Callithrix jacchus: one gene and its partners. The protein of the gene in region 1 interacts with the protein of each later gene in a pairwise test. Links are inferred from orthologs where the notes say so. Each region holds a gene or a part of one and is shown in the gene's direction. Other genes may lie near its edges. The genes, in order: BNIP3, CLEC7A and BCL2.

What was found.
Region 2: the proteins of BNIP3 (region 1) and CLEC7A interact in binary tests that used the Homo sapiens proteins (3 or more experiments, as listed by UniProt). The two-hybrid records come from large-scale screens. The link is inferred for Callithrix jacchus from reciprocal best matches to the Homo sapiens genes BNIP3 and CLEC7A.
Region 3: the proteins of BNIP3 (region 1) and BCL2 interact in a two-hybrid assay, tested with the Homo sapiens proteins (2 studies listed by BioGRID and IntAct). The link is inferred for Callithrix jacchus from reciprocal best matches to the Homo sapiens genes BNIP3 and BCL2.

What each region holds. Positions count from the first base shown.
Region 1 is NC_133513.1:125,280,993-125,291,111, reverse strand, and holds the start of BNIP3 (BCL2/adenovirus E1B 19 kDa protein-interacting protein 3), read left to right. Parts: upstream 1-4,508; 5' UTR 4,509-4,636; coding exon 4,637-4,682; intron 4,683-10,119. UniProt on the Homo sapiens protein: Apoptosis-inducing protein that can overcome BCL2 suppression. May play a role in repartitioning calcium between the two major intracellular calcium stores in association with BCL2.
Region 2 is NC_133510.1:12,871,856-12,881,569, forward strand, and holds the end of CLEC7A (C-type lectin domain family 7 member A), read left to right. Parts: intron 1-589; coding exon 590-708; intron 709-5,381; coding exon 5,382-5,514; 3' UTR 5,515-6,685; downstream 6,686-9,714.
Region 3 is NC_133514.1:106,288,087-106,298,278, reverse strand, and holds the start of BCL2 (apoptosis regulator Bcl-2), read left to right. Parts: upstream 1-3,460; 5' UTR 3,461-4,357; intron 4,358-4,580; 5' UTR 4,581-4,863; coding exon 4,864-5,451; intron 5,452-10,192. UniProt on the Homo sapiens protein: Suppresses apoptosis in a variety of cell systems including factor-dependent lymphohematopoietic and neural cells. Regulates cell death by controlling the mitochondrial membrane permeability. Appears to function in a feedback loop system with caspases.

The sequences.
Region 1 (10,119 bases):
CAAAGCCCCCCTTTCTTGAATAAGGACTTCAGCCAAGGCTCTTCCTGAGGCCTTATCCCAGGTTCTTTCCTAAAATTAAAGATTCGAGGAGAATTCAACAATGCCCTGGAAGTCCAGACAAATCTGTGCTTAAATGTTTTGAAGAGTCTGGAAAAACATTTAAAAAATATTCTGGAATGCCTAATGTTAGCCTCTAAGATCATTAGAATGACTCCTTATAAATTCTATTTTCCTCAATAGCTTAAATCAGGGTTTGGTTAACAAAGTTAAAAAATACCAGCTTAACTGGGTGAATATACAAACCCATGAACTATTAAGCTATACAGATCAACTTCCTAAAACGATTCAGAAAGAAAAAAACTAATGTCTCAAAGACTATGAATTTGCAACTACAAGAACAACTACCCAAACAAGGCCTTTTAAGACAAGACAGAGCCTCCTTCTAATGATAAAAGGGCTGTTTGCTTCTGTTGTAAAAAGCCTGGCCATTAAAAAAAAAAACTGTAGAAAAGTTCACAGCAGGACCAATGAAAAAACAGGATCCCACATGATGAACAGGATTGCTGAGGACCAAAGGGAGGTTCTGTTTCTACCAATACCCTAGAAGAAATGGACATTTCCATAAATGAAGAGACACATGCCCTCAAAGACACTGGGGCTATTCTTTTTGTCCTTAACCCCACCCACCACTTCCAACTGTCCCCTTCCTTGAAGTAAGGGAGCTGTACAAATGGAAGGGTTATCTAATAAGCCTGTCACTGGATACAAGCCCGAGCCCTTAGAATCCCAGGGCCTTCACTCTTTCCCTTATTCCTTTCAGTACCCCACCTCGCAGACATCTCTTGTGGAACGTCATGATGCATGCCTTCCTTTCTCCTAAAAGGAAAAAGTGGATTTAGGTTTGGAATAGGAGCATATGGAACAACTACAGAATGAAAAATTACTGAAATTATAAAAATACAGATCAAACGACTTTTTCTAAACTGGGACTAATTAATGACAAGCATGGTTTAGGGCAAGCTTTGCCAGAACACTCATGGTCACAATCTTCGCTGACATTAGTAAAATATATTCAGCCACTTTCATTAAAATGGAAGTAAACCTGATTAATCCTTTCCCAGTATCAGGCAATATCCTCTAAGGCCTGAAGCAACGGAAGGAATAAGATCCATGACAAAAGACTCTATTAAAAGGGTCTATTATTCCTTGCACCAGCATGCAACACTCCAATCCTTCCTGCAAGGAGGTGGAACGGGAAGAGGTGGCAGTTTGTGTAAGATCTGAGGGCTGTCATCAACACTGTGATGGCGAGGCATCTGGGAGTACCGAAGCCCATCCTCTTGGCAGCTGGAAGTGAGACACTTACTGTGACTGATTTACGCAGTGCTTTAATATTCCAGTGCACTGTCGGTATCTGCTTCTACTTGGGATGTCCGCCAGCATATCTGGCCTATCAGGAAATATTGCTGATAAAACCGCTGCCTCCCTCGCAGCTCAACAAAAAGCTACAGACTCAATGGCTAAAGCTAGACTGGACAACTGCACTGATTTCGATTATTAGCTGAGCGAGCAAGCGTAGGTACGGTGGCAAATACCTCTTGTTGTGCACACATAAACTCTTACCATTAAGTAGAAACTCACCTGGGAAAAATTAGAAGCTACTTGGCTACAAGTCTCTGAAGAAGAATCTCTGTTTAATTACCTGCATAATACTCTTAGTGGACTCCCTAGCAGAACAGGCTCCTTTTTTCATTCTGGCATACACATTCTCTTTTTTATTGTAATCCTTATGTGCATTGTACTTGGCACAATTTTTTTTTTTTAATTTTTTGAGATGCAGTCTTGCTGTGGACAGGCTGGAGAGCAGTGGTGTGACCTTGGCTCACTGCCACCTCTACCTCCTGGATTCAAGCGATTCTTGTGCCTCAGCCTACTGGGTAGCTGAAATTACAGGCACCCACCACCATCCTCAGCTAATTTTTAAAATATTTTTAATAGAGATGGGGCTTCAACATGTTTGCCAGGATAGTCTCGATCTCCTGACCTCATGATCTGCCTGCCTCGGCCTCCCAAAGTGGGCACTTGGTAACATTTTTGTTTTAATAAAGATGGAATCTTTCTGTGTCGGCCAGGTTGGTCTTGAACTCTCAGGCTGAAGTGATCCTACTGCCTTGGCTTCCCCCAAATGCTGGAATTAAAGCAAGAGGCACTGCCTGGCCAGCATTATAGTTCTACTATTGGAAATATTAATGCTGTGTATCTCTGGCTGTTTTCCTTTTTCTTTTTTTTTTGAGACAGGGTCTCACTCTGTTGCTCAGGCTGGAGTGCAGTGGCCTGATCATGGCACATTGTAGCCTCCACCTCCTGGGCTCAAGTGATCCTCCCACAGCAGGTACCACGATGCCGTGATTTTTCTTTTTTTTTTTTTTGGGGGGTAGTGAAGGGGTCTCGCCATGCTGCCCAGACTAGTCTCCAACTCCTGGGCCAAAGCGATCCTCCTGCCTCGGCCTCCCAAAGTGCTGAGATGAAAGGCCTGTTTCCCACACTGGGCTCGAGAAAACCAAAATCATGGCACTCCAAATACTAGGGCCGATTCAACAGCAAGAGCTGCGGTGAAATCCACGCAGTGACGGAGGTCTGGTTTCTCCGCGCGGTGATCCCGGTTCCGGTTCTGAGCACCTGGCGTCCCCGTTCGCTGTCGGGGGCCTCCGCCTTCCCCGCGTGGCCAGACCCGGCTGTCTGGGAAGGAGTATTTCGGGGGCACAACGCGACACCTGGATCTGGGTCGTCAATGCTTCCACGGAGAAAGACTCTTGGGAAAAAGGGCGGGAAACGAGCCTTTCCTCTGAAGAGCGCGCGCCTCCCTCCAGGCCCGAGGCCGCCAGGCCGGCTCCCCTAGCCCGGTACCCACCCGGCCCGGCGCCACCCCGCCCCGAGCCCCGCCCGCCCCCGGAAACCCCTCGCCGCGGAGGCGGACGGCGCGCCTCTCCGGGCCCCTGGGGTCCGCGTCTCCCTCGGGCGGATCTTCCGCCCCACTTGAGCCTCCGCTGCTCCTTGTGAGCGGACGCCCCCAGACACAACGGCCCCGCTGTTCAAGCAGGGGCGCCCCGGCCGGGCGGGCAGAGACCCGGGGGCGCGGCCTCGGCTCCGGCCCACCACTCGCAGCGACCGTACCGGCCCCACCGGCCGCCCAGGAACCGCAGCAGCTACGCCCCCGCACGTCCTCACGCCCCCCGCACGGACGCCGCTCTCCCCGCGTCCTCACGACCCCCGCGCGTCCTCACGACCCCCGCACGTCCTCACGCCCCCCGCACGGACGCCGCTCTCCCTACACGTCCTCACGCCCCCCGCACGGACGCCGCTCTCCCTACACGTCCTCACGCCCCCCGCACGGACGCCGCTCTCCCTACACGTCCTCACGCCCCCCGCAGGGACGTCGCTCTCCCCGCACGGACGCCGCTCTCCCTACACGTCCTCACGCCCCTCGCACGTCCTCACGCCCCCCGCAGGGACGTCGCTCTCCCCGCACGTCCTCACGCACCCCGCACGTCCTCACGCCCCCCGCAGGGACGTCGCTCTCTCCGCACGTCCTCACGCCCCCCGCACGGACGCCGCTCTCCCCGCACGTCCTCACGACCCCGCAGGGACGTCGCTCTCCCCGCACGTCCTCACGCCCCCCGCACGGACGCCGCTCTCCCCGCACGTCCTCACGCCCCCCGCAGGGACGTCGCTCTCCCCGCACGTCCTCACGCCCCCCGCACGGACGCCGCTCTCCCCGCACGTCCTCACGCCCCGCGCAGGGACGTCGCTCTCCCCGCACGTCCTCACGCCCCCCGCACGGACGCCGCTCTCCCCGCACGTCCTCACGCCCCCCCACACGGACGCCGCTCTCCCCGCACGTCCTCACGCCCCCCGCACGGACGCCGCTCTCCCCGCACGTCCTCACGCCCCCCCACACGGACGCCGCTCTCCCCGCACGTCTTCACGCCCCCCGCACGGACGCCGCTCTCCCCGCACGTCCTCACGCCCCCCGCAGGGACGTCGCTCTCCCCGCACCTGTTTCCCCACACTAGGATGGAGAGACCCTCCCCGCCCCGAAGCGTGGCGGCGCCGGGGTGACAGGTAGAGCCTAGCGCGTCCGCCGGTCCCACCGCCCCTCTAAAAGAAAACCCGGCCCACCGCCTGCCGCGTCGGCGACCCCGCAGCCCACTCGTCACGCGGCCCGGGACGCTCCGCCCGGCCTGGCTCACCTCAGGCGGTCTCGCCCGCGCCCGCGTCTGCGCATCCTTCGCCCCGCCCCTCTCTCCGCCTGCGACCCGCGCACCGCAGTCCCCGCCCCTCGCCCGCCCCAGGACCCGCCCCGCGCACGCGCCACACGTGCCGCACGCACCGCACGCCCCTGCGCACGCGCAGGTCCCGCGCCGCGGCCAATGGGCGTCGCGGCCGCAGATCCGCCCGGCCCCGCCCTACCCGGTGAGTTCCTCTGGCCGGGCGGCGGGGCTCCGCTCAGTCACCGAGCGCTGGGCCGCGGCGTCCCCGTGCCCACTTTCTCACCGTCCGCCGTCTACGCGCAGCCCGCAGCCCGCAGCCCGCAGCCCGGCGCGGACTCTGATCGCCGCAGCCGCCCTCCGGCGTCATGTCGCAGAGCGGAGCGCCGGGGATGCAGGAGGAGAGCCTGCAGGGTGAGGCCGGGGAGGCCGGGGGGACGCCGAGGGGGCGCCGAGAGGAGGCTGGGGGGTAGGCCGGGGCGCGCCGACAGAGGCCGAGAGGAGGCCTGGGGGGGGCATCGCGGGCCGACCGAGGCCGTGTCGCTCTGCTCTCCGGTGCCCACCCCTCCGGCGGGCGTGCGGGGCCCGGGGCGTGGGGATTCCGCGCGCTGCTCCGGGTTCGCGGCCCCCTGGCTGGGGCGAGGGGTGGCTTGGACCCGGGTCGTACCGCGCGGGGAAGCCCCAATTCTCCAGCCTCGCGATGGCTGGAATTCCACCTGGAGGTGGCTCTGCGTCTCCCAGTTGGCCCGGGCAGCCTCTTGAAGTCCACGCTGCCCTCCGCGGTCTGTAGTTCAGACCAGCATCGGTTTTGTTTATTTATTTGCCTTCGAGACGGAGCGTCGCTCTGTGGCCCAGGCTGGAGCGCAGGGACGCCACCTCGGCTCACTGCAGCCTTCGCCTCCCGGGTTCAAGCGACTCCCCTGTCTCAGCCTCCCGAGTATCTGGGGCCACAGGCGCGTACCACCTCGCCCGGCTAATTTTTGGTGGGTTTAGCAGACGAGGTTTCACCGTGTTAGTCGGGATGGTCTCGATCTTCTGACCTGGTGGTCCACCCGCCTCGGCCTCCCAAAGCGCTAGGATTACAGGCGTGAACCGCCACGCCCGCCCTAGCATTGGTTTTAATGAGTAAACACCGAGGCGTGGCTTGTAAGTGCTTTAGTTTTGTGGCTGCTGTTGAAGTCCGTGGTGACTATTGGGATTTCCTGAAGTTAAATGGGTGGGGGTGACAGCGTTGTTAGATTCTGGCATTAAATGGACTTGGTCCGATTCTCCTAGAGGATCGTTCCGAAACAAAGCTTTAAATGACCTACGGGTTAAAAATCACAAAAGGACGCCGCCTTTAGAGCAGCCAGTCGTTGCAGCCTGCTTAATGCCCGCGTAGAGGCCTGCTGTGCGCCCTTTGCTAGGTTCGCAGTACCAGCGGTTCAGGACTTGCCCCACGCACAGCCAGGTGGCATGGAGACCCTCCCCACCCGGTAAATACACGTGCAGAGCCCAGATGAGCCTTTGCTCAGGGAAGCGGGTCCAGAAGCTGCCTTCCCAGGGTCCCTAGGGCCCAGGCCTCGGGGGAGGGATGGTGGCAGCTGACCTTTGTGTTCTCTGAAGCCAGAGTTTACAAAGCAAAATTAGCAAGTAAATAAGCTTGGGAAAGGACTGCTGAAACCTCTGCCAATGAACTTTCAGTTTTCACGAACAGTTCTGAAAGTCATGTATTTACATTAAGTTTAGTGAGTTGCTAATTTTATTACAAAAGCAAGATTTTACTAGGCAGAACTTAGTTTCCATAATATATCGAATAATTTATGTATGTTTGAACACTACCATATTTTTTTTCACCTTTTTTTTCCTAAGAGATGAGATCTCACTATGTTGCCCAGGCTGGTCTGAACTGGGTTCAAGTGATCCTCCCGCCTCGGCCTGGCCTAGAACCATATTTTTAAAAATCCTGTAATTTGGATTTTTTCCTCTTGAAACGTAAACATTGGATAATTACTATTCTGAAATAGATTAAGGGGTATTTTTCTGTCTTTTGTCATAAAGTAAAATCCAAGAGATGTTTCCTTTGCTGTAAAATCACCCATTTTCCGTTTGTGAAGCTGAGTTACCAAGGACACGGTGTGTTTCTTTGACCGGCTAGGATCCGGGCCCTGGGAGGTGGAGGGGGCTCCGCAGGGGCTTGTTCCTCTCCAGTCCGTAACTTAAATAGGCTGCTGAGTCATCGGCAGTGCAAGACGATCAGCGCTGGAGTTAGGTTTTTGTTTTTCTGTTTTGTTTATTCTGTAATAAGATACTTAACGCGTGGGGTGGAACCCAGGTTGGCAATTCCTTGGGCCGTCCTGGGTGTCTGCGCGGCAGAATGGGGCCACCGTGGGCTCTGCGTGGGCGGGGTCGGCCGGTCCCGCGGGCTCCAGCCGCCTTCAAATCCTGCGCGGAGCCGTGGCTCAGGCAGCACTCACCCCGTCTGGTCTGATTTCTCTGTCCCTTGTTTACCTCGGAACAGGGAAGTGTGGGAGCCCTGTAGCCAGACCCACAGATGGAAGCAGCAAACACTCTCTGCTTGTACCCTCTGGGGTCAGCTGCTCTTCCTGAGGAGTTAACGGCAGATGGGCTGATTCTGTCCCTTCTGTCTCTTGATGATTCTAGCTAAAGTTGCTGACTAGCAGGATGCTCATATGTGTCCTTTTTATTCCTTACTCTGTCGCCCAGGCTGGATTGCAGTGGCACAATCACTGGAGCTCACTGCAGCCTTCAACTCGGCCGTTTTCCCGTAGACATGCCACTGCTAAAATGCAGGAGCGGTAGGATTCTGTGGTGACGCCGCCAGGGTTGTGGGGGTGGGGGCATTCCTTCCTTCAAGGACGCACTGTCTTCAGGAGGGCATCGGTTCAGTAAAGCGTTGGCCCATTTACTCTGGAGCGGCTGTGTTTAACGATCCAAGCCCTCACCCCTTCACCCACTGCTGTGTCTGCACCGGCAGATGGTTCTCTTATCAGAGGCAACTCACCATGGGCAGAGCTGTATGAGGAGAAAAATGTTTGTACTTACTTTGGAGGGGAATTGTAGCATTGTGCGGTTTTAGACCTGAAGGGGTTGCAGACGTCTAGATTCTCATCCAAGACGATGGTCACAGTGAGGTTCTAGAGGTGGAGTGAAGAAGAATGCCAGCAACAATAATTAAGGAAAAGCCGAGGACTCTGCATTAAGCACTGGAGGGATGGATACCTGGAGCCCAGATTGCCTGAGGCTGATTAGATAGCCAGGGTCCTGGAGGAGAGCCTAGCAAGAGGAAGGTTGAGCCCTGTCAGAAGCCAGGGACCTGATTTACCTGCCAGGCTGACATGAGGCTTGAAGTCTTTTGCCAGGGAAGTCTCTTTTGTTCCTCTTCCCATTAACCTGAGAAGCTTTTAAAGGTAAAAATAAAAGCAGTTTCCTTTTTTTTAAATTTTGAGATGGAGTGTTCACTCTGTCCCCCAGGCTGAAGTGCAGTGACATGATCTTGGCTTACTGCAGCCTCCCAGGTTCAAGTGATTCTCCTGCCTCAGCCTCCCAAGTAGCTGGGATTACAGGCGCGTGCTACCACACCTGGCTAAGTTTTTGTATGTTTAGTATAGATGGGATTTCATTCACCATGTTAGCCAGGATGGTCTCGATGTCCTGACCTCATGATCCTCTGCTTCCCAAAGTGCTGGAATAGCCAAGGAGCCTGGTCCATAAAACAGCAATTGCTTAGAGCCCACTTCCCGTGGGGAAGAAGCCCTTTATATGGTCTTGGGAGTGCTAGTTCCCTCTGGGGTTGACAGCTTCCCTGCTTCAGGCTTTTTTTTTTCTGGGGATGCTGGCTCCCTCTCTTCTGACATTTATCCAAGAGCTTTTTCAGTGTATTTGCCTGGATTCCACCCTAGCATCCCAAATAGTCGCTTTCAGAGTGGGCTGCGGCTGGGCTTTTGGAGAACAATGAACAAACAGCACAGGTGATTTTCCCTTCATAGCCAGAGTTGAGACTGTCATCCAGATGAGGGCAGAGGACGGCCTTGAGAACTGGCCCTGCGTTTACTCCACGTGGGGCTCTTGGCTGCAGCCGGTGAATCCGTGTTGAGGAGTGCAGCTAGGGCATTTGCCCTGGGACATAGAGGGGCAGTGAATCTAAGGGATTCCCTGGAGTCTGTCACTATAGAGAGAACTGCTTGGGGCACCTAGAGAAGCTGGATGTCAGATGACTTAAACCACAGAGTAAGAATAAGAAATGGATTAAGAACTGTTGTTGGATTGTATTTTGTCTCTGAGGCAGACCTATCAGCTTCCTTTTTGTAATGTGATGTAAATATTTATAGTCTAGGCTTTTCAAAATCTCATCTGCCTTGTTAGGAGGGAGGCAAGATTTACTCCCTGCGTGTCTTGTTACCAATGTAAGTTGTAAGTGAGGAGGGGGAGGAACATAAAGAGAGGGATGGGAAATGAGATTAGGGATGGGGGCTTTTCGACTGGGTGTGGTGGCTCACACCTGTAATCACAGCACTTTGGGAGGCCAAGGTGGGAGGGTCACCTGAGGTCAGGAGTTCCAGACCAGCCTGGCCAACATGGTGAAACCCTGTCGGAACTAAAAATACAAAAATTAGCTGGGCGTGGTGGCGGGTGCCTGTAGTCCCAGCTACTCGGGAGGCTGAGGCTGGAGAATTGCCTGAACCCAGGAGGCGGAGGTCGCTGTGAGCGGAAATCTGTGCTGTTGTACTCCAGCCTGGGTGACAAGAAAAACTCAGTCAAAAAAAAAAAAAGGCTGAGGGCTTTTCTTGCATCAGCTTGCTTTCCGGGCCTGATTACTGCAGTCATTTTAAGTAGAGGACTTGTGATCACGAGCAGGTGTTTTTCTTTTTTCCCGAGCCAGTCTCCACGCTGCTGGAGTACAGTGGCACGATCGTGGCCCACTTCAGCCTCCACCTCCTGGGTTCAAGTGATTCTCCTGCCTTAGCCTCCTGAGTAGTTCGGATTACAGGCAGGTGCCACCATGCCTGGCTCATTTTTTGTATTTTTAGTAGAGACGGGTTTCACTGTGCTAGCCAGGATGGTCTTGATCTCATGAGCCGCCCGCCTCACCCTCCCAAAGTGCTGGGATTATAGGTGTGAGCCACCGTGCCCTGCCGTGAGCAAGTTTTTTAAGATCGTTAAGCAACCTTAATCCCCATCTTTGTTTGAAAAGGTGAATGATTAGATTGGAGAATTGTAACATTTGAGTAGATTCACAGCATACTCTGTTCTCCAGGAAGTGCCTTTCCTACCCTGCGTAGGTAAACAGTAACTCCTCTCCCTTAGTAAATCATTCCTGGGAATACAGCTTTTGGGCCCAAAGTCATTAGTCACAGACAATACGGAATGGTTTTTTTCCTTGTCTCCAGGATGCTTAGGACTCTTTCTGGGGCGATTTTTTAAAAGCACTGCTTTGTTTTGACTGTGTCCCTCCCATGTTGCCAGTGGGATGATAGTAAAGGTGGGCTTTTAGAGGTGCTTAGGCCACGGGGGCTCCTCCCTTGTGAATGGGATTAGTGCTCTAAGGGGCTGGATGGAGGGAGGTGGGTGCCTCTGCCCTCATTGAAGGGATGGAGCAGGAATGCCCTTACCTGATACCAGTTGCTGTTGCCTTGACCTTGACCTTCCCAGCCTTCAGAACAGATCAATTTCCGTTTGTCAATCACTTAGTCTGTGGGATTGTTACAGTAGCACAGACAGATGAAGACAGATTCACTGTTTCCAGGCCATCTTCCTCCGTGGTCTTCACTTTTCCCCTGTAAGATCAATATAGTATACTTTGGCCTTGACCCTCGTTTCTGATGCACAGCACCTAACCCCCTGGATTTCC
Region 2 (9,714 bases), on another chromosome or scaffold:
TAGTAACAATTTATGTTAAAGTTAAACGGTGAAGAAAGAGTATTGGATTACAAGTCTATCTGACTTTTAGGCCAGCCTATAATTGAAAGTAAATTGCTCTGTATTTGTCAACAATTCAGATCTCTTCGCTGAACCTCACATTACTTATTCATAAAATATGCAGTTGGACTAAAACATTTTTAAGTTGTTACCTAACTCTGAGAAGTACTTCTTAACAAGAGTAGTATCCATTTATTTCTTCAGTTGGAGGAGAAGATAGCGGCCAGTCGTCCATGAAAAGTGCCCAGGGGGCCTGTCATCTGGGATTTTGTCAATAGATTGAATGGAGGCAGTACGATCTTGACATTATAAATCTATTCTCTTGGAAAGTTAAATGATAATTACTTTAAATAAATAAAATAGGCCTTTTGAGACATTCAATGACATTCAAAAATTGACATTTCTCTCGAGGTTGATGTCAGGTTAGGCAAGCATCCTTCGCCAAAGTGATTCAATCAGTTGTCTTTTTCTCCATGTTCATGCTAATAGTGTCTCTCTCTCCTCTCTCTCTCTCTCTCTTTGTTGTCTATTTGTGTTTGTTTCCTTACAGGGATTTATATTAAAGCAAGTATCTTCCCAACCTGATAATTCATTCTGGATAGGCCTTTCGAGGACCCAGACTGAGGGACCATGGCTGTGGGAGGATGGATCAACATTCTCTCCTAACTTGTAAGTGTTTAGAGACACAGTGCTTCATCCTCTTTCGCAGAGGGAGGTTTTCACCTCATCTGTGAAAACCTCTGGCAAGCGACTAAGAACCTGATTTGCTAACCATATTTGAGAAAGAAAGGCATGAAAGAAGAGAAAGAGTGAGCTAGGACAAAAGGAGAAGAATGAGGAGGATTCGAGAGCGAAAAGGAGCCGAGAGGCCTTCTAGCGCCATCAACACCGATGTTCTTTTGGTTTTCTTACCAGGGAGGCATCCGACATGTTGAGGTTGTCCAGGCAAGGAGCAGTCAGTCAGTCAGTGTAACCGTCTGGTTAGGAACGTCAGTTTTGAAGCCAGGCCTCAATTCGGGTTATTAGCCCACTCACTGATTGTGTGACATTGAGGATAAGTCATTTTTCCTCTCTGAGTCCCATTTTTTTATATCCATAAATGAGAATAGAAAGAGTGCTCTGGGCCAGAAGTACTGGCTTATGCCTGTAATCCCAGCACTTTGGGAGGCCTACGTGGTCAGATCACTTGAGGTCAGGGGTTCGAGAACAACCTGACCAACATGGCAAAACCCCATCTCCACTAAAAATACAAAAATTAACTGAGTGTGGTGGCATTTGCCTGAAATCCCAGCTACTCAAGAGACTGAGGCAGGAGAATTGATTGGACCTGGGAGACCGAGGTTACAGTGAACTGAAATCATGCCACTGCACTCCAGCCTGGATGACAGAATGGGACTCCAGCGAGACTCCAACTCAAACAAAAGACAAAAACAAAAGAAAGGAAGAGTGCTCGTTTTTAGAATTATGAGTTGGGTATAAAAGTAAAATTATTGGGCTGGGTGCAGAGGCTCACTCCTGTAATCTCAGCACTTTGGGAGGCAGAGGGAGGAAGATCATCTGGGATTTGGAGTTCAACACCAGCCTGACCAACGTGGAGAAACCCTGTTTTTACTAAAAATACAAAATTAGCTAGGCGTGGTGGTGCATGCCTGTAATCCCAGTTACTTGGGAGGTGAGGCAGGAGAATCACTTGAACCCGGGAGGCAGAGGTTGTGGTGAGCTGAGATTGTGCCATTGCCCTCCAGCCTGGTCAACGAGAATGAAACTCCATCTCAAAAAACAAAAGAAAGAAAGAAAATAAAGTTATTTAGCACAGTGTCTTGTACATAGTTAATGTGTGATACTTATTATTAAGTTAAAAAGTAACCACATTTTCACATTTTGCATTTTAGAAAGATGTTTTAAATGTATTTCGCATTTGCATGAGTATACATTATTCCTTATTATGTGTTGAAGTCTTTGTCACTGGTATTGTCATTCATTTGCTTTTCCTTGTTCAGTTTTTCTTATAAGACTTTTTCTTTACTTTTCTTTTTTTTTTTTTTTTGAGACAGAGTTTTGCTCTTGTTACCCAGTCTGGAGTGCAATGGCACGATCTCGGCTCACCGCAACCTCCACCTCCTGGGTTCAGGCAATTCTCCTGCCTCAGCCTCCTGAGTAGCTGGGATTACAGGCACGCGCCACCATGCCCAGCTAATTTTTTGTATTTTTAGTAGAGACGGGGTTTCACCATGTTGACCAGGATGGTCTCGATCTCTTGACCTTGTGATCAACTCGCCTCCACCTCCCAAAGTGCTGGGATTACAGGCGTGAGCCACCGCGCCCGGCCAACACTTTTTCTTATTCAGTTTTTTTATCTGTTCATTTGGAATGTGCTCTTTCACATCTTTTACATTTCTTTTACTAATCTTTGAGTAGTTGTTCCTGGAATTATATACGTAATCTTCACTCATCAAAGACTAATATTGACTGGCATTTTTATGTTCTTCCTGATCAATATAAAAATTAATAGAGCATTCCTTTACTTTGTTGATGCCCTCCTCAGTTTATATGCTATTATATTAATGTACTTATTTTAATTTTATCGCCCAGGCTGGAGTGCAGTGGCACGATCTCAGCTCACTGCAACCTCTGCCTCCTGGGTTCATGTGATCCTCCCACCTCAACCTCCTGAGTAGCTGGGACTACAGCTGTGCACCACCAGCTAGGTGTGGTGGTGGGCACCGGTAATCCCAGCTACTCAGAGGCTGAGGCATGAGAATTGCTTGAACCCGGGAGACGGAGGTTGCAGTGAGCTGAGATCATGCCACTGCACTCCGGCCTGGGCAATAGAGATAGATTCAGTCTCAAAAAAAAAAAAAAAAAAAAAAAAAAAAAAGCCCTTGTTTGGGCTGGGTGCAGTAGCCCATGCCTGTAATCCCAGCACTTTGGGAGGCCGAGGCAGATGTATCACTCGAGGTCAGAAGTTTGAGATCCAGCCTGGCCAACATGGTGAAACCCCATCTCTTAAAAAAAAAATACAAAAGTTAGCCAGGCATGGTGGCACACAGCAATTTATGCAGTTAGTATTCAATTCAATTTGCCCACATATTTATGATTTTAATTATTTATTATTTCTTCCTTTCCTACTCTACATTTCAGGTATTTTTTCTTAAGACTGATATTTTCAATAAGTATAGGATTAGGAGTTTGTTGTTTTTGCTCTCAGCCACTCAAATACGTTATTCCACTTTTTTCTATTTTTTATTGTTCTTTCTTCTTCTTCTTCTTCTTCCTCCCCTTCCTCCTCCTCCTCCTCCTCTTCTTCTTCTTCTTTGTCTTCTTCTTCTTTTTTTTTTTTTTTTTTTTGAGATGGAGTTTCGCTCTTGTTACCCAGGCTGGAGTGCAATGGCACGATCTCGGCTCACTGCAACCTCCGCCTCCTGGGTTCAGGCAATTCTCCTGCCTCAGCCTCCCGAGTAGCTGGGGTTACATCGTCTTCTTCTTCTTCTTTTTGTTTTTTTCTGGTGCCGTGACCCAGATCCAATATTCCTTTTGCGAGTTCATCTGTTTGAAGGTAACATGTGGCTTAAATCTGATGTCTTTACTCAGTAATGAAAAATTCTCAGCCATACTTGCTTCAAATTTTGTGTTTTCCCCATCTTATTTCCCTTCTCCTAGAATCCCAGTTACACTCATTATAGATCCATTTACAGCATCCTATATGTTTCTTTTGCTTTTTCCTGTGTTTTCATTCTTTTTTATCTTTTCACTCCAATCTATGTAATTACCCTTCACATATCTTCCAGTTCATCTATTTTCCTCATCTGTGGCTAATCTGCTATTAAAGGTCTATATTTTTTATTTTGTTTGGTGACATTTTCAGTTCTATAATTTTAGTATGGTTTTTTTCTCAAATCTATTTTTTCAACACTTATACTTCCATTTTCCTTCCAGCATTCTCAGTACTGTCTTTTAACTCTTAGAATACACTAACCATAGTTGTTTTAGCATGTGTCTGAATGTCCTGTATATATCTGTCTATATGTAATTCCAATGTCCTATATGTATATATGTCTCTGTCTCTCTCTCTCTCTTTCTTTTTACTACTTTTCATTTGTGTTGACTAGTTTTCTTTTATGTCAGATTGCTTTTTATAGGGTGTTTAACACTGTATCTTAAAATCTTTGCAGAATTAATTCGAAGTGTTTTTTCATTTGCCTCTGTTCTCACCACAGAGTCTGTTCACCCAATGGTGTGAATGGTACCGACTGCTGAGTATAATCACTTAACTGTTTTACTTCTACTAGGCCAAGTACAGTGAATGTATTAACAAACAATCGGCCAAATGTATTTTCTACTTTTTTATAGAACTTGTTTGTCTTGAGTTTTCTTTTGCTGTTTTAAACATATGGCTAGAGGACTCTTTCTATAATCACAAGCGTGGGCCCAAGTTAACGTTTTGTTTGATATGTTAGTACTCTGTGGTTTTCTTGGTGGCATTTATTTAATCCAGCCCCAAAACACTTAGATGTCAAGGAAAAATTTTTAAAAATAATGCTGATCAGCGTTCTCCCTGAGGTATAAACTAAGTAGTTAATCCTAGTCTTAGTCATCTCTAGAGCAAAGGTTTCTCAGTCTTCCAACCTCAGCGTCAAGAAGAAGAGATAGATACCCAAGACAAAGAGCGCCAAGTCATAGCTTTTGCACTGAGGTGCAGTGATCCTCTTTGAGCTTGACTAATTAACACTGCTCCTTCAGGATTTTGAAGACCAAATTGAATAGGACAGTGCTTCCATTTACCAATGTTGATTACCATAACTGTCAAGCATTGTATTGTGATATAATTCTGCTTTCAGGATAAATTAAAATAAACAAGAGTTGTTTGCCCTTCCTTTAAATGACCTGATTTAAAGGCATCTATGATTCTTTTTTTTAGTTCTTGATTCCTTTCAGCATTAATACTTCTGCTTGGTCTACTCACTAAGTATATTCAATAATAGTTTCACTGAGCTGTTGCTTGATTTGATAAAGAAACATCTAAGTAATAGGTTGAAAGATATATAAAGAACTTTTAATAGAATATTAAATGATTTTTCTTCTTTGCCAGGATCTTTTTTAAGTTTATGCAACTAGTCTTATTTCTTGAATAAAAAAATTGTGTCATTTTTCTGCCTTAAGAATGGAGACTATTCATTTAACCACTTGAGATTAAAAACAATTTAGATTTAAACCCCTTTTTCCAATAATATAAACACTTCGGAACTCTTTTCACCAATATCCTTACTAATTTATTTGAGTGCCATGTGGACAGTATTCCTTAACATTTGTTCTAATTACATCATTGTATTCTATTTTAACAGATTTCAGATCAGAACCACAGCTACCCAAGAAAACTCATCTCTCAATTGTGTATGGATTCATGTGTCAATCATTTATGATCAATTGTGTAGTGTGCCCTCATATAGTATTTGTGAGAAGAAGTTTGCAATGTAAGGGATAGGGTAGAGGAGGAGGGAAGAAATACGTGAGCTAGTAAGGAGGACAGAAAACAGAACAGAAAAGAGTAACAGCAGAAGTCAAAATAAATGCAGAAAATGTTCAGAGAGCTTGGCAAACTGTAATCGTACCCAAGAAATTGAAAGGGGAGGCTGTGGTTTCTGTATTTGTTGACCTACACATAGGCCAGTATTATTGTTCTAGTTAGTAGATCTCTAGACATGGAGTCAGGGCAGTCAAGCTTGAATTTCTTTTCTTTTCTTTCTTTTTTTTTTTTTTTTTTTTTTTTGATAGAATCTCACTTTGTTACTCAGGCTGGAGTGCAATGGCGCGATCTTGGTTCACTGCAGCCATCTCCTCACCTCAGCTCCCCCGAGGTAGCTGGGACTACAGGTGCATGTCACCATGCCTGGCTAACTTTTGGTATTTTTTGTAGAGACTGGGTTTTGCCATGTTGACCAGGCTAGTCTCCAACCCCTGGGCTCAAGTGATTGCCTGCCTTGGCCTTCCAAAGTGCCGGGATTACAGATGTAAGCCATCACGCCTTGCCCCAAGCCTGAAGTTTCATTTTGCCATTGACTTGGTATTTACCTGGGATAAACCATAAGATAATCTTAATTCCCGGCTCTATTAGAGTTGTTTTTGTACTCAAATATGCCATTGAAGTGCATGGTTTGTTGCCACAATTTGTCCCTTAACTTCTAGCAGTATGGAAACTGCTCTCAAAGGAAAGTTTTCTGCTTTTTAAACGCTAGCAACCAAAAAATACACAAAGTCTGTTGATGAATATAAAAAAGTAATCAATCTAATTGGAACAAGCATTAACATTTTGTAATATGAAACATGCTTTATTAGTTTCCTGATGTACTGTTTTATAATTTTTATCATTTTTTTCAGTAACTACTGCAAAAAGGTATTATTGGAATGAAACTATATTTCCTCATGTGCTGATTTGTCTCTTTTCTTTTTTTTCATACTTTCCCACTGGTGCTATTTTTATTTCCAGTGGATATTTCTATATTACTGGGGAGGCATTTGCAGCCCTCTAATGTCAATTAATATGTGAAAAGAAATTGTACAAATTTCACTAAATTATTCACTTTAAAATGGCTGATTTTATGTTATGTGGATTTCATCTCAATAAAAAAAGAAAACTCTTATCAAAAAACCCCTAGCCTCTAAATTATGTGCCCATGTGTCACAATCACTATCACGATTTGCCTTCTCCCCAAAAAATGAATTTGGTGTGGGTGGAGGGAATATTTATAGTAGATATTTTGATATTAAAGCATTAATTAGAGTTCTTAAAAATTTTTTAAATCTAAGAGAAGATGAAGATTTTTGTGAGGTTTACTACTGTTTAATATGCAAATTTATATTGTCATTATTTAAAAATATGTAGAAAGGGATGAGACAGATAGGTGCAGCAAGCCAGCATGGCACACGTATACCCATGTAACAAACCTGCACATTCTGCATGTATATCTCAGAACTTAAAGTAAAATAAAAAAAATAGTTGTACTATATAATAAACATAAGAAAAAGAAAGGGAAAAAATGACATAAGAAAAAACTTTCAATGTCAAAAACCACAATAACTTTTGCACCAGCTTCATACTATCTTTCTTGTATATATCTGCCTTTCTCCATAGAATATAGTCTCTAAAAGAACAGACAGCTTTGGTGTACATGGGTGTACACAACAGTCTGTGACTAGTACTTGCCATATAGCCAATAGTCAAAAATATTCTTGTTATTGTTGAAAAAAACAAATTTTAAGGAAAAGTAGTATAAATGTTAATGTATGTTGTTTATCAAAAATTCTGAGGAATATACTTGAATAACAACTGAAGTTTGTGACATGAAATAGTTCTAATTGCTATTTTATGAGACTCATAATTACGGGTGCCTTTTTCTGATCCCAGCTGTTATCATTTTTAGCACTCTATCTCTGTTTTATTCACATATGGCCTTCACACACCTTCATCTTCACAATTCCGACTACCTTCTCTGTCATATGGCTCTCTGATACCCAACCCAATGCAAACAAATAATTTTTGATTTCCTACTCTTACAAGGAACTACGCAAGAGGAAGATATTTGTATTTTTAGTTATGTATTTTTTTTAATTTCAATAGCTTTTGGAGTACAAGAGGTTTTTGATTACATGGATGAATTATATAGCAATGGATTCTGATTGTAATGCACCTGTCACCCACCTGAGTAGTGTAAATTGTACTCAATACATAGGTTTTAATCCCTCCGCCTCCCTTTTCACCTCCCACTTCTGAGTCTCTTAAGTCCATTATATCACTCTGTATGCATTTGCCTACTTATAGCTTAGCTTCCACTTATAAGTCAGAACAAAAAGTTTTTGGTTTTTCATCCCTCCCTGAGTTACTTAGAATAATGGCCTCCTGCTCTAACCAAGGTGCTATGAAAAATATTATTTCATTATTTTTTATGGCTGAGTGGTAGTCCATGGTGTATATATGCCGTATTTTCTTTTCCACTCATTGGTCAATGGGCACTTAGGTTGGTCCCATATTTTTGCTACTGTGAATTGTGATGCTATAATCATATATGTGCACGTGTCTTTTTCATATATAATGACATTATCCTTTGGGTAGATACCCAGTAGTGGGATTGCAAGATAGAATAGTTGACCTACTTTTAGTTCTTTGAGTAATCTTCATACTGTTTCCATAGAGGCTGTACTAATTTACATTCCCACCAGCAGTGTGTAAGCATTTCCTTTTCACCACACTCATGCCAACATCTTTGTTTTTTGACTTTTTAATAATGGCCATTATTGTAGGAGTAAGCTGATATCTCATTGTGGTTTTTTTTTTTTTTTAAGACGGAGTTTCGCTCTTATTACCCAGGCTGGAGTGCAATGGCGCGATCTCGGCTCACCGCAACCTCCGCCTCCTGGGTTCAGGCAATTCTTCTGCCTCAGCCTCCAGAGTAGCTGGGATTACAGGCACGCGCCATCATGCCCAGCTAATTTTTTGTATTTTTAGTAGAGACGGGGTTTCACCATGTTGACCAGGATGGTCTGGATCTGTCGACCTCGTGATCCACCCGCCTCGGCCTCCCAAAGTGCTGGGATCTCATTGTGGTTTTAATTTGCATTTCTCTGATGATTAGTGATGTTGAGCATTGTTTCATATGTTTGCTGGATGTTTGTATATCTTCTTTTGAGAAATGTCTATGTATGTCCTTTGCTCACTTTTTGATGGGATTATTATTATTATTATTTTCCTTCTGATTTGTTTGAGGTCCTTGTAGATTCTGGATATTAGTCCTTTGTTGGATGCATAGTTTGCAAATATTTTGTCTCATTCTGTGGGTTGTGTGTTTACTCTGCTGACTATTTCTTTTGCTGTGCAGAAGCTTTTTAGTTTCATGAGGTCTCATTTATTTATTTTTGTCTTTGTTGCATTTGCTTTTGGAGTATTAGTCATAAATTCTTTGCATAGGCTAATGTCCAGAAGAGTTTTTTCTTATTATATTCGGTGATTTTTATACTTCCAGGTGTTAGATTTAAGTCTTTGATCCATCTTGAGTTGATTTTGAGGGCTCTAGTTTCATTTTTCTACATGTGGCTTGTCAGCCTTTCCAGCACCTTTTATTAAATAAGGTGTTATTGCCCCAGTTTCTGTTTATGTATGATTCATCAAAAATCAGCTGTCTGTTAAGTATTTGGCTTTATTTCTTTTTCATGGGGGGGTTAAATTTTTATTTCAAAAGCTTGGATGGCTTCAATATCCAGGTTGTGGCAAAATCAGGACACATGTAAAATACCTTATATTAGATTCCCAAAAGGTACCAAAAAATACAGTAAAATTAACACTTCCATAATAGGAAATGTATGACACAAATAATATGAAATTAAAAGGTGAAAAAATGTGACACTGGTTTTCTAAGAAACAATTTATACTTTACAACCAGGGTCCACAGATCCAGGCTGCAGAGCCAGGCAGCAGGAAGCAGAGACTGCCATCTGGGGAACCTGGTAATAAGGCAAGAGAATCGCTTGAACCCTGGAGGTGGAGGTTGCAGTGAGCCGAGATGGCGCCATTGCACTCCAGCCTGGGCAACAAGAGCAAAACTCGGTTAAAAAAAAAAAAAATCAGCCCACAATGCGCTCTGGTCTCTCAAACACCACACGCTGCCTGAACAACTAGAGCTCTGG
Region 3 (10,192 bases), on another chromosome or scaffold:
TTCTTGGATGAAGAGAATAACGCTGTGAAACAACCAGTAGGTGGCGAAAACTGGCAATAAAAAGCTTTTTGTTTGGTGGCCTAGGGAATGAAGACAGAAAGAAAACACAGGCCTTTCAGACTCTTGATACAATCTCCATTCCCCGCATCTTTTTTTTTTCCTCTTCCTGGTGTCACGCTACTTGTAGGATCCAACCAGACTAAGCTGCCAAAAGGGTCATCCATTGGCTCTTATAAGTGGAAAACATCTTGGAAAGTGAAAAGTCCACTGTGCATGTTTGGAAGGTCGTTGGAAGGTCTCAGGCACAGATCTAGGATTCAAATCCAGTTAGTCCTCCCTCAGGCTGGTGTTCGCTCCCCTGCCTCAGCATTGCCCAAAAACAATTGTCAATGTCACATACTTCCTGAAAATACTTGCCCTTATGCTTTAAAATGGAATCTAATAAACATGGAATCCGAACACAGGAATGGGTTCACTCTTTCAATTGAAAGAGTACCTAGAACATTCCAAGGAATATATAACCCTAGTCGAAGACTGCAATACAGACCTGTCTCAAGGCTGATTATAGCCAAGATGCCACATGAGGAATTAGTCTGGGAAAATCCATAGAGTGAGGCTCTATGGGAGCAAAGGCAGGCAAAACTCAGGAAGCTTTTCTTTATCTGGGAATAGGGGATCCATTTCCTTCTGCGGCTCCCTTTGCAGAAGTAGTTTTTTTGCAGGTTTGTCCTATCATTTCCTCACTCATATGCTGAGTATTAGTAACTTGAAACCTTTCAATTCCTCTTAGATAATTTGGGGGCTTTGCGCTTTCAAGATTTCTCAACCATAATGTGGAATTGGCATGAATTTATGTGAGAACATACATTCCAGGTCAATTTATACCCCGTGTCTATCCAGACCAGAACACCTCCCATGTGCATAAAAGGGACTCTGTCCCAATCATCAGAAGGGCAGGAAGGAGGATCTCTTTTCATCCCTCTTGCCTGGATAAGACATTTGTACCCAGGCACCCATTCCTGTGTGAGAGAAGTTGTCTCGTTGGGCTGATGGGATACGATAAATGAAGAAATAAAATAAAAATACCCGAAAGAGATGGCAGTGCTTACAGTCCTAGCCATTCATGAGGCTGAGGTAGGAGAATCCTTTGAGCCCAGGAGTTTGAGTCTAGCCTGGGCAACATAGCAAAAGCTATCTCTTAAAAAAAAAAAAAAAAATTAAAAACCAGCTAAGTAAAAATAATTTTAAAATCTGGTGTCCTTGCCAAAAAATGTTTTGATTTAGAGTAGGAAGATGTCAGGCCAGGCGCGGTGGCTCAGGTCTGTAATCCCAGCACTTTGGGAGGCCGAGGCGGGTGGATCACTAGGTCAGGAATTCGAGACCAGCCTAGCCAATATGGTGAAACCCCGTCTGTAATAAAAATACAAAAATTATCCGGGCTTGGCGGCGTGCACCTGTAATCCCAGCTACTCAGTAGGCTGAGGCAGGAGAATCTCTCTTTTTTTTTTTTTTTTTTTTTTGAGACGAAGTTTCGCTCTTGTTACCCAGGCTGGAGTGCAATGGCTCCACCTCGGCTCACCGCAACTTCCGCCTCCTGGGTTCAGGCAATTCTCCTGCCTCAGCCTCCTGAGTAGCTGGGATTACAGGCACGCGCCACCATGCCCAGCTAATTTTTTGTATTTTTAGTAGAGACGGGGTTTCACCATGTTGACCAGGATGGTCTCGATCTCCTGACCTCGTGATCCACCCGCCTCGGCCTCCCAAAGTGCGGGGATTACAGGCGTGAGCCACAGCGCCCGGCCCCGAGAATCTCTTGAACCTGCGAGGCAGAGGTTGCAGTGAGCTGAGATCCAGCCACTGCACTCCAGCCTCAGCGACAGAACAAGGCTCCGTCTCAAAAAAAAAAAAAAAAAATAGGAAAAAAAGAGCATATTTGTACACATTGTAGTATTCATTTGTCATCTTTCTTGATCACAATAATCTATTGTCCCTATATATTTGAACTTGAGCCCTATTAAGTAAGCCGCTGTGCTTCTGGTAAACCTTTTATTTTTTTTCTCGGTGTCTTATTTGTCAAAGACTCTTGGAGCTAAAAATAAACACGTGCAACTTGTTTGTCCTCTTGTCCTTTTCTGCTAGGGGCTATTCATTCCGATGAATTTAAAACTGATTGCACTTACACACGTCTGCGAGTGTGGATGTGTATATATCTGCGTACATCATTTGAGAAAGTGCGGCCATCTAGGATTGGCTACAAGGCAAAGGTGGAGAAAGGTGGAGACCTTTAGGAGCCCACCCACCCCAGCGTTAGGACGGTGGGCCCGAAAGTTACTATGCAGAACTCTTCAGCGTGCAGCCCTGACCCAGTGCAGAACGTGTTAGGGACAGAGGAACAACACGGACTTAAATTATTTTAAAGCCCTTGATAACCCCTCGCTGGCTCCTTCCGTGGAGCGCTGAGTTCTGCCTGGCCTTGGCCACGTACTGGATATTCACGGGGACACCGGCGAGAATGCGCGCGCGTGTGTAGTGCGCCGACACCTAGTAATCCACTTGAAAGTAAACACTACGCTGGGGGCGTCCCTGGATATTGCTTAAAACGTTTCAGAGTCGCCTGTTTTCACCGCAGGGCAGAGCTAAGGTCCCCCTGCTTGGGGGTGGGGGGTGGGGGTGGCATTGGCCTGGGTCTTCCCCCGGGGGCAGAGCGCGGGTAACATGGCGTGTGTGTGTGTGTGTGTGTGTGTAGGCGCGTGTACACACACACGGCTAGAAAGGGTCCAGGCGACACACACACACACATACACTCACTCTCTCACTCTCTCTCTCTCTCTCTCTCTCTCTCTCTCAGTCGGCTAGAAAGGGTCCAGGCGGTTCCCGGCGCTTTTCCAGCCCTTGTTTTCATGGCGCACCCTCCCGCCAGCCGCCCCCCTCCGCTCTCCGTCGCCGGCCGGGCCGCGTGCGGTTCCCCGGCAGCCCCCACCCCCTCGCGGACCCCGAGGTCCGCGCCCGGCCCTCCACAGGCCTGAGCAGAAGGCCCGCTCACACCCACCGCGCCGCGGCCGCGCGGGAGGCCTGCGCCGCCCGCGCAACCCGCGCCACCCACCGGCCGGGCCGGGCGAACGCAGCGGAACGGGCGGGTGGCCGGCCCGGGTGCGCCCTCCCCGGTCGCGGCCCCGCGCGCCATGTGCCCCCGGTGGGGTGCGCCGCTCCCGGGCCCGCCGCGGCGCCTTTAACCCGGGCCAGCGAGCGGGGCGGAGGGGGCGGTCGGGCGGCTCAGAGGAGGGCTCTTTCTTTCTTCTTTTTTTGAATGAACCGTGTGACGTTACGCACAGGAAACCGGTCGGGCTATGCGGAGAATGAAGTAAGAGGACAGACACCCCCGCCCCGCGCCCGCCCCCTTCCTCCCGCGCCCGCCCCTCTGCGCCGCCAGCCCGCCCGCCGCGCCGCCCGCTCGCCGCTCGCCTTGGCCCCGCCGCGCCGCCGCCGCCGCCGCTGCCAGCGAAGGTGCCGGGGCGCCGGGCCCTCCCCGCCGGCGGCCGTCTGCGCTCGGAGCGGGCTGCGCGGCGGGAGCTCCGGGAGGCGGCCGCAGCCAGCGCCGTCGCGCAGGAGCAGGAGGAGGAGAAAGGGTGCGCAGCCCGGAGGCGGGGTGCGCCGGTGGGGTGCAGCGGAAGAAGGGGGTCCAGGGGGGAGAACTTCGTAGCAGTCGTCCTTTTTAGGAAAAGAGGGAAAAAATAAAGCCCTCCCCCACCACCTCCTTCTCCCCACCCCTCGCCGCACCACACACAGCGCGGGCTTCTAGCGCTCGGCACCGGCGGGCCAGGCGCGTCCTGCCTTCATTTATCCAGCAGCTTTTCGGAAAATGCATTCGCTGTTCGGAGTTTAATCAGAAGAGGATTGCTGCCCCCGTCCCCGGCTCCTCCGTCGTCCCCCCTCCCCTGTCTCTCTGCCGGGGAGGCGTGAAGCGGTCCGGTGGATAGAGATTCATGCCTGTGCCCGCGCGTGTATGCGCGCGTGTAAATTGCCGAGAAGGGGAAAACATCACAGGACTTCTGCGAATACCGGACTGAAAATTGTAATTCATCTGCCGCCGCCGCTGCCTTTTTTTCTCGAGCTCTTGAGATCTCCAGTTGGGATTCCTGCGGATTGACATTTCTGTGAAGCAGAAGTCTGGGAATCGATCTGGAAATCCTCCTAATTTTTACTCCCCCTCCCCCCGACTTCTGATTCATTGGGAAGTTTCAAAGCAGCTATAACCGGAGAGTGCTGAAGATTGATGGGATTGTTGCCTTATGCATTTGTTTTGGTTTTACAAAAAAGGAAACTTGACAGAGGATCATGCTGTTCTTAAAAAATACAAGTAAGTTCTCTGCACAGGAAATTGGCTTAATGTAACTTTCAATGAAAACATTTGAGAATTTTTACTTAAAGTGCATTCGAGTAAATTTAATTTCCAGGCAGTTTAATACATTCTTTTTAGCCGTGTTACTTGTAGTGCGTATGCCCTGCTTTCAGCCAGGGCATACAGGAAAATGCACCTGATTTTTTTAACTTATGAGTTTGTTTCTTCTTTAACCTTTCAGCATCACGGAGGAAGTAGACTGATATTAACAATGCTTACTACTAACGTGCCTCATGAAATAAAGATCCGAAAGGAATTGGAATAAAAATTTCCTGCGTCTCATGCCAAGGGGGAAACACCAGAATCAAGTGTTCCGCGTGACTGAAGACACCCCCTCTTCCAAGAATGCAAAGCACATCCAATAAAATAGCTGGATTATAACTCTTCTTCTTTCTTTGGGGGCCGTGGGGTGGGAGCTGGAGCGAGAGGTGCCGTTGGCCCCCGCTGCTTTTCCTCGGGGAAGGATGGCGCACGCTGGGAGAACAGGGTACGATAACCGGGAGATAGTGATGAAGTACATCCACTATAAGCTGTCGCAGAGGGGCTACGAGTGGGATGCCGGAGATGTGGGCGCCGCGCCCCCAGGGGCCGCCCCCGCGGAGGGCATCTTCTCTTCCCAGCCCGGGCACACGCCCGGTCCCGCCGCGCCCCGGGACCCGGTCGCCAGGACCTCGCCGCCGCCGCCCCCAGCCGCCCCCGCCGCCGCCGCCACGGGGCCTACGCTCAGCCCGGTGCCACCTGTGGTCCACCTGACCCTCCGCCAGGCCGGCGACGACTTCTCCCGCCGCTACCGCCGCGACTTCGCCGAGATGTCCAGCCAGCTGCACCTGACGCCCTTCACCGCGCGGGGACGCTTTGCCACGGTGGTGGAGGAGCTCTTCAGGGACGGGGTGAACTGGGGGAGGATTGTGGCCTTCTTTGAGTTCGGTGGGGTCATGTGTGTGGAGAGCGTCAACCGGGAGATGTCGCCCCTGGTGGACAACATCGCCCTGTGGATGACCGAGTACCTGAACCGGCACCTGCACACCTGGATCCAGGATAACGGAGGCTGGGTAGGTGCACGTGGTGATGGGAGTCTGGGCTGAGGCTGCAGGTCCGAGATGTGGGGGTTGGAGTGCGGCGGGTGGGCTCCTGGGGTAAGGGGAGGCTGTGGGGCTGGTGAAATAAAATCAGGGTTGTTGCTTCCCGGCGTCCATAACCTCTTCCTCTGGACAAAGTGTTCTTTCCCAACCTGAGTGATGACGCCTGCCCTCTAAAAGTCTTTAACTTGCTCGCTAGTTGAGGAGGTCCAGTAGGATGTGGTGGTCAATGGTACCCCTTCAGTGTTTCTCGAGCTGGAGGTCCAGGAGTCCCCAGGACCACAGTTTCCTGGCCTGAGCAGCTTGTTGGGACCGGAGGGAGGTTTCAGGGCCTGCTTATGAACCAGATGCCAGGTTGGGTCTTGACAGTCTGCATCCTAAACAAGCTCCCCTGAGACACGCCCCTGGTGCACTTAAATTTGGGAACACCCCAATGAGAAGAACAGACTCCACAGAAGACTAAGGGTACGCTTTTTCTAACTCGGTAAAATTTTCCAAAAGAGGAAAACCAACCTGAGTCCCTTTCCCTGGAAAACTTAGTTGTGTTTGTAAAGAGCTAAATTGACATTCCAAAGTCCTTGCACTGGAATCTCCAGTGTGTGCCATATTTCCAGTGGGCGTGACGCAGTGTCTTGAGGGGTATTGGTCTATGGCTTTGCTACCTCGTCAGTGACAGAATTTGCATCGGCTGCATTCTTTATGTTCTATAATTTGTGTATGAGTTACTAATTCACTAGAATGTTGTTAGAATCTTTTGTTTTTCACTACCTAGAGTCGACATAATTTTGTGGTCTCCTGAAAAAGTTTGCATCTAGGTATCTATGTACGGTGTAGAAGAATTGATTGCTAGCTGTGGATTCTCTCATACCCCGACTTGAGTTGAAGTGATTGATACCTGTGGCTTTGAAGAACATATGTGAGATGATCTTTTTCTGGTTCTGTGCTAGACAGAGCTTTCATCATTATACCATACAGTTGTACTTTTCTGAGATTCTTTAAGGGAGGGGTGCAGCTCCTAAGATTCAAGGACTGTAATGGAGAGCTATATCTCATACCTAAAATGATGAATTTATAGAAAAGTAGTTCCTGTCTGAAGTGGGGTTTTTTTTTTCCAGTTTTTGTTTTAATCTGAAGAGTTATCTTTGAAAAAAAAAAAAAAAGGATGCAATTCAGTGCTTCCTTTTATAGTCTCTTGGGAGAATGACTAATGTCATTACTTTATAGGTCCTAACAGGAGAAAAAAGCCTAGAAATGACTGCAAGTGGATTAGATGTCAAGAAGCACACTACATGTTTTTATTACATTTCACAAAGTGTGCTCATATTAAGGGGCCAAATAGAGAAAAGGCCAAGAAAAGTAGATGATTGATGGGAACATCTGATCTTATTTGACCAAAGTTGGCAAAATATTGATGCCACTGTTTGGTGTTTAAAAGTAAGATGAACTAAAATACCCCAATTTAAATTTCTAAAATTTAAACGCTCTTCTCGAATTGTTTGTTGAGATCTCACGTTATCAGACCTTTAGTAATTCTGGAAGAATTTGCTGAAGGGTGAAAAGAATATTTTTGTTAAATATTTGGTTAAGTAGGTGGTTTGATTTTTAATCACCATAACCAAAGAGGTTGAGACTTCCAGACTCCAAACGGATCCTTTTAAAGCAAGTAAAACAGATGTAATAGTTTCACCATTTCATATTTTCATGAAAAATTCATATTTAAAATTTTCTTTCTAGTTGAAGGAAATCCAGGTGGTAACTGGTATCTGTCTATCAAGTTAATAAAAACAGGAAACAGAAACGCATGTTGATGACGGAATTAAGATACAACCTGATATTTGCTGCTGAATTTCAGTGTTATCATCTCATGGAACTGAAGTTTTTTTTTTAAGGAAAGGCTCACTTTTTTTCTTTTTTTCAAACAGGGTTTTCATAGTAGACCTATCTTTGTGGTCAACAGGTATCTGAGGTTGGTAAATGCAGAGGCTACGTTTTATGATGCCAAACCACAGTGACATACCATAGAACATGATAAACATTTTTTGACAAAACTGCTTCTAGTAAAAATAAATCATACAGAAACACAGATGGCTGATGGTAAAATACGTAATAGATATTTCAGAACAGAAATCTGTAAATTTCAGAATAATGCACAGATGGTGGCTATATAGGAAAACAAAGGAATTTAGAGTTTATATTTATAAAAAATATATATATATAATTATACATATATATGTTTATAAAATAAAAAATATATATTTATACATATATGTATTTATAAATATATTTTTATATATATACACACACACACATACATACACACCAGGAAATGCACTCATAGGACACTTTGGAATAATAGTAGTAGTGTTTGAGAATGATAAAGGATTTGCCTATCATTTCAAATGTGCATTATTAATCCAAAAGTTATTTTAGGCATGGCATACAGATTTTCTTCAAATTTACACCAGTCAGGGTTACATCTCTAATAATATGTTGTATTTTACAGTGTAAATAAGTCTTCATGGTAAAGCTTCAGAAGAGAGCTAGCATATTTTCTTGACACGTGCCAATAATCTGCACTGTCCCCAGAGTTCAGTGGATAAGCCCATCTCCTGAATGCTACCCTGAATACTCCAGACTTCAGACTTCAAGTCATCTCTTTTTCTTTGCTGCTGCTCCTACAAAATGAGAACCTTGCGAGGCTGAGGAAATCTTGTGTTCCGTAACATGGAGAAATCAGGTCCTTGGAATGATCAGCCTCTGATAGACTGTCCCAGAAGACTACAAATTAAATAAAGACTAAAGAAGTAATTGGGTGTAGAGTGGAGTGTGGCTTTATTCCTAGGTCTGAATAAGGCATTGTGTGGCATCCAGAGAGAGGCAGGACAGAGGAAGCAGCGAGAGAGCGGCAATTCTAGAAAATGTGGAAACCTTGCTGCTCAGTGTGGCTTACAGACCAGTAGCATGTGCACCCCCTGGGAGCTTCTTAGAGATGCAAAAGCTCATCTCCCACCCCAGAGCTCACATATTCTGAGTCAGAATATGTGGTCTGTGCACATTGAAGTTAGCGATGCTGGCTACCATCCTTGGTTCCTGGTGGCATCTTTTAGGAAGCGTTGCTACCTGGGATGGATTCTGCATTGGCCCCTTCCAGTGACCTTAAAGATCTGTAGTATTACTTGGAATTCTGAATATTCCGCTATTGTTATCTGACTTTAGGAAGACATGAATTGGGATGAAGGAGAGATAGCAAGCAGGTAGATTACTACAAGCCCAGTCTTCTCGCAAATATTTTTCATGGTAGTTACCCAATTTGTATCGGCATCACTGGTCCCATTAAGAAGTAAGATAGCTTTTCTTCTGCAATTAAAGTCAAGAGAATGAACTCTTTTAATAGCTCTGTTAGTTATTATTTTATCTCCTCCTGACACAGTTTAAATTCTGGAAATTACTTTAGTGACCTTGCAACTGCTGTAAGACAAAGGGACTCTTGCAGGCAGGAGTTGTGGGCAAATGATGGTGAGTGGCTTCCCAAACTGAACTGTGATGACATTCAGCTTCACGTCTTAGGAGAGAGTGAGATATGGACTACTAGAAAAATGAGATGATTCAGACAGGAGACTGGAGGAGATGAGCTTAATTTTACTGAAGAGACGGTAATCCATCTTTTGGTCCTTTGGTGTTGGTGGTTTAGGAAGATGGGAACTTCTCCACACCTGGTAGAGTTCAGCTTCCCTTTCATTAGTTAGTCAGCAAGCAGTTTTTCCTTTCTGAATGCAGTCCACATCCAGCAAAACATTTGATTAACTAGAAAGCAATACCATTCTCATGCCAGTGTACAAATTATATGAAAGAGCATCATTTTTCTAGTATCTGAGGATTGGCTGTGTATGGCCAATTTTGGCAGCGAAACGACAGGATTAAAAATAGCTTGAAGACGATCTAGTCTTAAATAATATATTTCATGATGAACTTTCCTTGGGAAAGTGTATTTTTCTGCCTGCTAAGAATCACATGACCCCTTTCAATAATTTATTTGGTAGAAAAAACATAGTATTGCCCCTGGAGTTTGCAGTCATGTGCTGTGGAGTGATTATGTTTCTGGACCTTCATACAATTTTATAGTTAACTTGAGTTCTCTTTTCTGTTTTAGGGCCTTTGTCGCTATTTAACGTCCATTAAAAACATAGCTTTCTTTTGTGCATTCTTTGCTTTGAATTGTACTTTCTAATGAGAACGGATTGTCCTTTTTAGTAATCTTTGATTGAACTGGTACCTTTCAGATTACTTAAATGTCATCAGGCCACACAGTGTACCAGGTAACAGAAAGCCACAGGTTAAAAAAAAAGCAAGCAAAATTCTTGTAGTTTTTTTCTTATCTCTGTTCCAGTCCTATAGTGCTTTTTGGAGGGATGATAAGCCCACTCGTGAGTGAGTGTGTGGGTAGTGTGTTAACCTGATGCTTCCCACCCAGCATACCTCCGCACCCATTTCTAAGGTCACTCATTGTGTCTTAGCAGTAGTTTAGCAAAGCAGTATCTCAGCAGAAGTGCATTTGTGCTAGCAAACAACACTGTCTTTGTAGTGTACAAGTAGAAAGTTTTCTTTTTTTCCCCCAGAGATATATTGTATTTGAGGTTCAAAGGTTCTCTTCAACCTTTTTAAGGTAATCTAATATCACCTTATTCAGATATAACAGTAACTTCTCAATCTGGTC